Linked DNA regions of Neurospora crassa OR74A. Each later gene encodes a partner of the first gene's protein in a complex. Links are inferred from orthologs where the notes say so. Each region holds a gene or a part of one and is shown in the gene's direction. Other genes may lie near its edges.

Region 1 (5,323 bases):
GAGGTTAGGTACTCTAGAGGCATGCACTTTCTTTGCTTAATATCATTGCTTAACATGACTTTGAAGCGTAGAAGCATGCCTTTGTCCCCGGAGAATGAATTATCACTTGGTGAACTCGCTGCCGTGGTGCGCCATAACCATGCTGCCATTGTGCGTAATGAATCCAGACAACGCCCCTTAACTTCAAAAGGTATCGATATATGTCCGTGCAAGTCATAACCTACATCTCCTACTCCTAGCTATGCCCTTCTTCACCTCTATCCTAACACAACGTCTCACCTCAGCACATCAAAGAAGCCCTCTCACCTCCTCACCCCCCCTCACCAAAACTTGTACCAGCTCTTCTTCTTCTCGCCCCCAGGTGCAGTCATCGACGTGCCCTGCACCACCTCCCCCTTTTCCGCCGCCTTCTTCTCCTTCGCCTCTTTAGCTTCCTTGGCCCTATTCTCCGCCTGCTTCTTCGTATAGACCGCCACCACCCTCTGCATCTTCTCCTTCTCCTTCCTCCTCTGCCACTGGCAGTACTCGTACTGCGCCATCGCCCCCACGATCCCGCACCCTACACCCCAGTTGGCCGCTTTCGGGATGGGCAGGCCCATGATCCACCGCAACACACCGATGCCTGCGCCGGCGCCGATGCCTGTCATGAAGCCTTGGCGGGCGCAGGGCGTTTCGTGCACGGAGAGGAAGTCGGAGGGGGAGATGGTGGAGGCGACTTCGGTGAGGGAGATGCGGTTGGATGAGTGGGTGGTGGGTTTTTGTTGTTTTTGTTGTTGTTGGGAGGGTTGTTGCTGTTGTTGCTGGCCTGGGACTACTTGTGGTGTGGTGTTGTTGGACTGTGGTGGTTGTTGTTGGAGGTCTTGAGAGGGCGCAAATGGAGCAGGAGGGGGAGGGGGAGAGCCGCCGCTGCCGCCGCTTAGCCAGGAGCGGGCGGCGGCGTCGGGGTTTGTGGGTGTTGTTGTTGTTGTTGTTGATGATGTTGTTTGGTCACGCGTCATGGTTGCGGTTTGCGATGATTGTTGATGGGACGGGCTTCAGTTTCTCTCGTGTTCCGTCTCGAAAATGCGCAGTTCTGTCAGGGCGCAGAGAAAAGTGTGGAGTTGTGCGTGTATGGTAGTTGTGTGAATATATGTGGAAGTCGCTGGTTGTTATTCGCTTGCTGGGATTGCAGTGTTTGAATGGCAGTCACGATATGTATCGGTAAGGTGATGGTGAGTTGAAGTGACGGATTGAGCAGGGAAACGAAGAAAGTGGAATTGGCCAATGGAGACTGCTCATTGACGTTCTCTCCGTCGTCTTCCGCACGGCGGCCGAAGGTGTCGCGGGGAAGCTTTTTTTTTTCTTCCTGGTGGGGACCTTGCGGGATTACGGGGAAGATGCAGGTACTTTAACGCACTTACATGGGGAACATTAGGCGAGCTACCGTAGAGATTCAGCTTCCAATTGTCATCAGAACTTCCGTCTAACAAACACAAGTTAGTAACATCAGTTACACTTCCGCCCTCAGATTCGGAGCCGGCTACGGGACGAGCTCGTACAATGCCCGACCTTCTTAGGTAGAGGTAGCTTTGACTTGGAGATCCAATGGACGGCAACTTGGACGGAGACAACAATGGAAGGTCCAAGCTCCCGTCCCTCCCGATCGGGCCGCTTCATGATTCGAGCATGCCCGCCCCGGCGGAGGGGCCGTGTCCCGAGCTGAGGTAGGTGGAGGGAGCGTCTGCCGGCGGGCAGCCCACTTCCCCACCGCTCCAATCCTTGTTCAGCGCCTTGACGCCCTGTGAGTGCCCTGAAACGATCAGCTTGACTAGTGGGCAATGTGTGCGTTTAGCGCCCGGCGCGTCAGACAAATTGGACCGTCTACCGTACGTAGTCGCGTCTGGCGCGTCTCCCAGTTAAACGACTTTAATGGGTTCCTGAGACTTTCCAAACATTGAAGTGCCTGCCTCCCATCTCACAACCCCATTCTCTTCACCAAACCAAGGGACCCTGTGCCAGCCATACCTCGAATCTTGGCTGGCCCTCCATGTCAACCTACTTGTGAAAAAGACATATTCCTGTTTCTTGTCTCTCCTTCCATTTCCATCCGACTTTTCTTGGATCGAGAGATCCTACCGAACAGGACGGAAAACGGAGGGCAGACCAAAGCACAAGACGAACATCTCGGGGCCTACGCAAGGGCCAATCCAATTCTTCGAATATGCCCAACACTTCTCTAAGGCGACAGCCTCAAAAGGGCTACCGTCGCGGTGGCAAGAACGCCTACCATGGCGGATCCAAAACACGAACGTTCGCTGCCTCGGCCAGCGCCCGCGGCGAGGCTACCTCGACAGACGAAAAATGGGAAAGGACAGCCCTTGCGAACCAGATCGACGAGAACATGGGCTTTGCCCGATACGATGCCGGGAAGAAGCGCGAAGGCTGGCTGGTCAACGTACAACCGACATCCATCGACGACCCCCGTATCCCCGGCGGCGGCGGTCGCGCGGCACTCGACTGCTACTTCATCGAAGAGGACGGGTCAACATTCAAAGCCACAGTCGAATATGAGCCATACTTTCTGGTCGCATGTCGAAAAGGTCACGAAGGCGAGGTCGAGGAGTGGTGCAAGAGAGTGCCTGGTGGCGGCTGCGTCAAGTCCATCCGGCGGGTCGAGAAGGAAGATCTCAAGATGCCCAACCACTTGCTGGGCTATCGTCGAACATTCTTGGAGCTGAGGTTTCATAACGTGCAGGACTTGATGTCCGCCAAGCGCGATGTCATGCCCATTGCGGAAAAGAACAAAAAGGGCATGGATGCCATGGATACATATGCCGAAGTAGCATCGTGGGTTCCTCTCATGTTATCTGTACAGGCTGATCACCGCTGCTGACACATACCCCCCCAATTAGAGCGAACGGCGGGTTTGATCTTTTTGATGACGATTCACGAAATGACGAGCGACGACATAATGCTGGTTTTGCAGAGGCGAGCGATTTCATTGTTGATATCCGGGAATACGACGTCCCATACCATGTGAGAGTAATGATAGACTTGGGTCAGTTCTCCTTGCACACTCCCCAGCGTGTGTGCTTAGCTGACCATCCACAGACATACGAGTTGCTAGATGGTATCATGTCGAGGCCAAGAATGGAGTCACGACAGTAAAAGTAAACGAGGAACGTTTGGCCATGGCCGATCCCGTCGTAATGGCTTTCGATATCGAGACCACCAAGTTGCCCCTCAAGTTTCCCGACGCCGCTATTGACCAGATCATGATGGTCTCATACATGATCGATGGCCAGGGTTTCTTGATCACAAATAGAGAGATTATCTCCGAAGACATTGCTGATTTCGACTACACACCAAAACCCGAGTACCAAGGTCCGTTTATGATCTTCAACGAACCTGACGAAAAGGCCCTTCTCGAAAGATTCTTCCTGCACATCAAGGAGGCCCGACCAACCGTCATCGCCACCTACAACGGTGACTTCTTCGATTGGCCTTTCGTGGAGGCTCGTGCCAGTATCAACGGCATCGACATGTACCACGAGATCGGCTGGAAGAAGGACAGTGAGGATCAGTACAAGTGCAACTACAGTGTGCACATGGACTGCTTTCACTGGGTAAACCGTGACAGTTATCTCCCCCAGGGTAGTAGAGGTCTCAAAGCCGTCACCGTTGCCAAGCTTGGATACGATCCCGATGAACTCGATCCTGAGCTTATGACACCATATGCCAGCGAGAGGCCGCAGACGCTGGCCGAATACTCCGTCTCCGATGCCGTCGCAACATACTATCTGTACATGAAATATGTGCATCCTTTCATCTTCTCTCTCTGTACCATCTTGCCGCTAGGCCCAGACGATACACTAAGAAAGGGAACCGGTACGCTATGCGAGATGTTATTAATGGTACAGGCTTACCAAAAGGAGATTGTGTTACCCAATAAACATGTCCAGCCTAAGGAGTCCTTCTGGGAAGGACACTTGTTGGACTCCGAAACGTACGTTGGTGGTCACGTCGAAAGTATCGAAGCTGGCGTCTTCCGCGCCGATATTCCCGTCAACTTCGCGGTTGACCCTACCGCCGTGGATGAGCTGATTCGGGATCTTGATGCAGCCCTAACGTTCAGTATTACGGTTGAAGAGAAGAAGGAGTTGAGTGATATCGCCAACTACGACGAGGTCAAGGAGCAGATAACGGCCAGGTTGATGAACCTCAAAGAGACGCCCAATCGACTGGAACGGCCGCTCATTTACCATCTTGATGTCGCCTCCATGTACCCCAACATTATGACAACCAACCGATTACAACCCGATTCCATGATCTCCGAGTCAACTTGTGCAGCATGCGACTTCAACCGCCCAGGAAAGACTTGTGACAGAAGACTACCGTGGGCCTGGAGAGGAGAGTACCTGCCAGCCAAGCGCGACGAGTACAACATGATTCGCCATGCACTCGAGAACGAGAGGTTTCCAGGAAAATACCCAAACAGCCCGATGCGGTCATTCCAAGACCTGAGCGCAGACGAACAAGCCACTCTCATCCGAAAGAGACTGCAGCTCTACTCACAAAAGGTGTACCACAAGATCCACGATTCCACCACGATTGTCAGAGAAGCGATCATTTGCCAGCGCGAGAACCCCTTCTACATCAACACAGTCCGTGACTTCCGTGACCGACGATACGACTACAAGGGCAAGGCGAAGGTGTGGAAGGGCAAGACGGATTCGCTCAAGAGCTCGGGCGCATCCGCGTCCGAAATCGATAATGCCAAAAAGATGATTATCTTGTTCGATTCCCTGCAGTTGGCCCACAAGGTCATTCTCAACAGTTTCTACGGATACGTCATGAGAAAGGGATCTAGATGGTACTCGATGGAAATGGCCGGTGTCACCTGTTTGACGGGCGCAACCATTATCCAGTTGGCGAGACAGCTCATTGAGCGACTGGGTCGTCCACTCGAGCTAGACACTGATGGTATCTGGTGCATGTTGCCGGCGACATTCCCAGAGAACTTTGTGTTCAAACTCAAAAATGGCAAGAAAATGACCATCTCGTACCCATGTGTCATGTTGAACCATCTGGTCCATGACAAGTTCACCAACCACCAGTACCAGACTCTGGTCGATCCAAAGACCTTCAAATACGAGACGCACAGCGACAACTCCATCTTCTTCGAAGTCGACGGGCCGTACAAGGCCATGATCCTACCCACCTCCAAAGAAGAAGACAAGAACTTGAAGAAGAGATATGCCGTCTTCAATGACGATGGCAGTCTTGCGGAGCTCAAGGGCTTCGAAGTGAAGCGAAGAGGCGAGTTGAAGCTCATCAAGATTTT
Region 2 (5,103 bases), on another chromosome or scaffold:
TAGGAATGCACCCGAATCAAGGTTATAGGCAAGATGAAATCCCCTCAATAAACACATACGACCATACCCACTGGAAAACTCGGGATCCCGTCCGCTCTCCCATAGATAAGCCAGTGAGGGCCAGACTAGTAGTTGGGTCGGTGACGACCAGCGAATCCCTGGTGTTGTATGTTTTTTTTCTTTTCTTTTTTTTTTCTCCCTCTCTATTCTCATCTTTATCCTGTTCACTTTCACTTTGAATCACGTTCTTCTTTTGGTTCTTTCTTCTCTCTCGGATCTTGTATCCCACCTCAGGCAGTAGTCGAGCTTCCACTTACATATACAAAACGGATCAGTCAGCGTTGAAATGCTTCGTCGCTCACATCCTTTCAGTCCTTCACTGTTTGATTAGGACATATGTCAGATCTCCCAGTAAATTGTTTGAAAATTTAGGACATTACTCATTGACGAATCGAACCCCAAGACGTACGTCTCCCCTTTATTTTGGACAACAGCATGAAGTGTAGCGACACATCAAACGGACCGCTCACCTATTGTACATCCGCTCTCACCACCCACATCCTTCAAACCCCAAACATCTCCTCTCAAGCTTTCTGCTTCTCTTTCGCCTCCTCCTCCTTGAACCTCGCAACCAACCTCTCCATCAAAAACGGACTTAGTCCCAAGCTGTAACCAATCCCAACAGTTAGCAACCACGTCAACCCACCTCACCTCACCTCACCAAAGTAAAAATACTCACATGCCCTGATTCGTAACAACCCGATAAGTCCCACTCCCCTGGAACGTCCCCTCGATCATCTTTCCCTGCCCATCCACCTCCACGCTCCCAAAGATATCCTCGGGCCACGCAATCCTTCCGAAATCCACTGGCGTCCTCTCATCACTCAAGTGCACCCATCCTCCCCTGCCCGCGCCTCCCGCGCCTCCCTCCGCTGACGCCCCGCCGGCGCCCGTGTCGCTGCCCTTTTTGCCTACCTTTCTCGAGCCAGGACGAGGAAGGAAGGAGAAACCGGCTGGGGAAGCAAAGGCTTGGGCTTGTGATTGAAGACCGGGGTCGGAGTAGGCGTGTTCGGCGAGGACGGAGTTGAGGATGGAAAGAAAGTGGGGGTTGGTGGTGAAGGACTGGGGAGTTGGGGGTAGGGCGGTGGTGGTGCCGATGGAGAGGGTGGGTGGGGGAGGGGTCGTGGGGAGGAGGGAGAGGATGTAGCTTTTTGGGTCGTTTGGGTGGGGAAAGACTTTCTGTGGTGATGGGTGTTAGTATGGTGTTTGAGTTGTTGTGTGGTGATGTGGTGAGGATGGGGGTTGTGGTGTAAGTGCGGGTGGGGTTGTTGGTGGAGAGGTGGATGGATGACTTGCAATGTTTGGGTTGGACGGCAAGGTCGTGAATGACCTGACTGCGCTTCGTAGCGTAGGAACTACACGAAATCTTGTAGTAAGCATCATGACTGGCTGTATTGAATCTGATATCGAGAATGAAAAGGTTGGTGATGGCGTCAAAAGTTAGTTGATGTCACTCTGGTGCTGTTCGTGCGTCTACTTGTAGCGTAGGTACCTGCTGTAGGTACCTCTCTAGCGCTGCCGGCGGCAACCAGGGTAGGTGGCCCTTGATGCCCCTGTTTCTGACATTGTGGAGCCCGTATTGGCTGAAATCTGGGGTGAGCCCCACTAGAACGCGTCTGGTCCCCTGCTTCGTTTCTCAATTTACGCGTCTTCCAGACAGTGACAATGACGGATATCACCACCACGAACAGACTGGTAGACGGCCAATTGTAACCGACTATACTAAATTGCAAGTTTAGTCGAGCTATCCAGACCACAGACACAATGATCGTTCAAAGTCCCCGCCAAAAGCGGACGAAAACCGGCCAGACAAACGCCCAAGACAGACCATCTCGACCGCAGCCACAAGCAGCAGCCGCCGCCGGCTTCTTTGCGCCCAAGACCCCAGCGGGCCCATCCAACCCGATACCCTCGTCCTCGCCCGCCTTCGCTACTCCAGTACATCCACTGAAGCCGTTCCAACCCCCAGTCCTCACAAAAGCCGCAATCCTGCCCATCATCCTTCCGCCGGCGACACTACGACCGCTCGCCTTCCGAACGTTTACCAAGAAACACAGCCTAACACTTACATCAACTGCCCTACAAGAGCTCGCAACCTTTATCGGTAGACACTGTGGCTCAGGATGGAGGGAAGAAGGCCTGGCCGAAAAGGTGCTAGAAGAGGTAGCAAGGAGTTGGAAGAACCGCAATGGCGGCGTCATCGTGGAAGGCAACAGCCCCGAGCTCAAGGACATTCTCAAGACCCTCGAGGGAAACATGAGCGGAGGAAAGATCCTGACCGGGCCACGAAGCTTGAGCAGACAAAACAGTCTCTTGCTAGAGCCCGACCAAGACGAACAACATGCGCATAGTCGACTCGGACTTCGGCCCGTGCCATCATTAACCCGGGAGGACAGCAACGCCAGCTTTGGCATGTCTGGGTTGGAGTTCACAGAAGAGCCGGAAGACGATTCGGTGAGAGATGTTAGGAGGTGGCTGAAGGTTATACATGCTTTCGATCAACCACGGTTGATGTATAATGTTGGAAAGAAGCATTTTGAGAGGTATGGTCCCTTATTATTTATTACCCTCTTTACATAGGTTACACAGCTAACCTTTGTAGGGATCCTTCCAAACCCTCCCTACTACCAGCCGCCTCTCACAAAACCGATGCCTTCCGCAACCGCTACAACGTTATTCATCAGCGCATCCTTCGCAACGAAGCCTTTCAATCCTCCTCCGTCCAAGGCTCCAGCTTGCGCCAACGAACCAACGCCAACGGCCTCTCCTCCCACAAGATTACCCCAATCGCCAACCTGCTCGGCCGCCATGGCAGCAACCACATGCTGCTGGGCATGCTTGTTGTCCTTCCCACTGGCTCTCTTGCCATCAGCGACCTGACGGGCACCATTACTCTCGACCTCTCTCACGCTGTCGCCATCCCTGAAGATTCTGCCTGGTTTACGCCGGGAATGATTGTTCTCATCGACGGCGTCTACGAAGAGGAGGAGGAAACCATGACCATGGGCAACGGTCTCAGTGGTAGCAGCGGTGTGGGCGGTACCATCGGCGGCCGGTTCCAAGGTTTCTTCATCGGCCAGCCACCATGCGAAAAGCGCCGCGTTACGCTCGGGGTTAGTGGGCCCGACGGCACCGGCGCTGATCATACCATTGGCGGCGGATTCGGCTGGATCGACTTCCTGGGCGTAGGTAGCGAGAGGGCAGTCGGGTCCAAAATGCGCAAGTTGGAGCACAGAATTCTTCGGCAACCAGCGCTGTTGGAGGATGGCAGGCCGTCGAGGGGTAGGGCAGTGATTATTGGCGAACTAAACCTAGATCAGCCGAGGAGTTTGCAGGCACTGAGAAAAATCTTGGGTCTCTATGCTAGTGATCCTGAAGGGTGTACACCCATGACGTTTGTGCTGGCGGGTAACTTCACGCAGCATGCTGTCATGGCGAGGGGCGGGAGTGGGGGGAGTATTGAGTACAAGGAGTTTTTCGATGCGTTGGCATCGACACTGGCGGATTTCCCTAGTCTGCTCACGACGGCTACCTTTGTTTTTGTGCCAGGTGACAACGACGGGTGGGTGTCTGCCTTCTCAGGTGGTGCGGCAACTCCTTTGCCGAGGAAACCCGTCCCAGATCTGTTTACTTCCCGCATCAGGAGGGTATTCGCAGCAGCGAATGCTGAAGCCGGGCTAGCCAACCCTGGCAAAGAAACAGAAAAGGATGCAGGCAAGAGGAGAGGCGGCGAAGCTGTCTGGACAACCAACCCAAGTAGGATAACCCTTTTCGGGCCTAGTCACGAAATGGTTCTTTTCCGAGATGACATCTCCGCCCGGTTACGACGAGCTTCTGTCCGTCTTAAGAACACGAGCAAAGCCTCCGTCGAGCCGGAACCCCCAACCAATGGTAACGACGACTCGGCAATGGATAACCAATGTCCACCCTCCTCCCTCCCCGACGCCCCCGATGCTGACGACGAAGACATGGCCGACACAACCATGACCGACGCCATGGATGTCGATTCTGCCCCTGCCCCTAACCAAAAGACTACCATGCCTCCTCCATCTTCCATACCCTACGACGTCCTCGCCGCCCGCAAGCTAGTGAAAACCATTCTCGACCAAGGCTATCTCGCTCCTTTCCGGCAAGCTATCCGCCCGGTACATTGGGACTATACTTCCGCCATGTACCTCTACCCGCTGCCGACGGCCATGGTACTGGTGGATACTACCGCTCCGCCGTTTTGCGTGACGTATGAGGGGTGCCACGTGATGAATCCGGGGAGCATATTAGTGCCGGGGAGGAAGGGGGCGGCACGGTGGGTTGAGTATGAGTTACCGGGAGTGGGAGGGACGGGGACGGGTGGAGGGAGGGTTAGGGAGTGTACATTCTGAGTTTTGCACATTTCGAGTGAAATGTTTGATTGTCTGGAGAAAAATCTGCCTTGAGCTTATTACGAGGCTGTGCTGGGAGATCTTGCTCTTGAATCGGTCTTGGGGCTGGGACTATTGGCTCTGTAAAGCTGATCGGGGAAAAGGGTAACTCGTATTGCTGGGCGGACGCTACGGTGGCAGGGCACAATCGAACCTCGAACACGGTGGGCATCTCAGGCGCCATCAATTTCTTTCCGTCGATTTCACGCCTCGCTCCCTGTTGTGCAGCACCTGCACGTCATGGCTGTACTCCCCTTTACAATGCATGAAGAGGAAAACAGGCTTCAGCCTGCTTATCTATAACGGAGACCATATCACCGGAGATTAGATCGGCTTAGCGCAACGCCCCAGCCTTCCTGTCAGCAGCATACCTTGTTGCATGCTTCAAGAGCATCAGGGACCACGTTGAACGGTGATTGGTTTATCAATTCAAGTTAAAATGGTACCTGCCTCCGCGACATGAATGTGTTGTTTCTGGTCTTCGTGGTGTGGTTTACTCTTCTCTCTTTCTCTTCTCCCTTTGGCTTTTCCATGTTGATGACTCTACTGAACAGTCAAGCAAGGCATAGGACGACAGCTTCCAACACGACGCCTGCCGATATCTTACAGCGTCTGCTACACGGAG

The links. The genes of interacting proteins can lie anywhere in the genome.
Region 2: the proteins of NCU04548 (region 1) and NCU10155 are in contact, whole or in part, in a cryo-EM structure (PDB 6WJV), measured with the Saccharomyces cerevisiae proteins. The link is inferred for Neurospora crassa OR74A from reciprocal best matches to the Saccharomyces cerevisiae genes POL2 and DPB2. Residues at the interface, in NP_014137.1 of Saccharomyces cerevisiae: Asp1115, Ile1116, Pro1117, Glu1133, Tyr1327, Asp1329, Ser1330, Glu1332, Pro1333, Gln1369, Glu1410, Lys1411, Asn1413, Cys1414, Ser1416, Phe1418, Asn1419, Gly1425, Val1426, Phe1427, Glu1428, Pro1595, Phe1596, Thr1598, Lys1599, Gly1602, Thr1603, Leu1606, Lys1614, Leu1617; in NP_015501.2 of Saccharomyces cerevisiae: Phe207, Leu208, Pro209, Ile211, Phe218, Leu219, Tyr222, Leu287, Asn289, Asn291, Phe292, Glu299, Asp300, Pro301, Asp409, Asp410, Leu411, Lys412, Ile413, Ser440, Val441, Pro442, Val443, Phe444, Ala445, Ser446, Met447, Ser448, Ser449, Arg450.

Annotation. Positions count from the first base shown.
Region 1 is NC_026507.1:1,470,822-1,476,144, forward strand, and holds the start of NCU04548 (DNA polymerase epsilon), read left to right. Parts: upstream 1-1,940; 5' UTR 1,941-2,200; coding exon 2,201-2,826; intron 2,827-2,891; coding exon 2,892-3,037; intron 3,038-3,090; coding exon 3,091-5,323. Other genes in the region: NCU04549 (hypothetical protein), read right to left, coding at 321-998. UniProt on the Saccharomyces cerevisiae protein: Catalytic component of the DNA polymerase epsilon complex which participates in chromosomal DNA replication.
Region 2 is NC_026505.1:1,592,019-1,597,121, forward strand, and holds NCU10155 (DNA polymerase epsilon subunit B), read left to right. Parts: upstream 1-1,691; 5' UTR 1,692-1,824; coding exon 1,825-2,603; intron 2,604-2,662; coding exon 2,663-4,439; 3' UTR 4,440-4,961; downstream 4,962-5,103. Other genes in the region: NCU04588 (hypothetical protein), read right to left, coding at 585-666, 740-1,239, 1,357-1,443. UniProt on the Saccharomyces cerevisiae protein: As accessory component of the DNA polymerase epsilon complex participates in chromosomal DNA replication.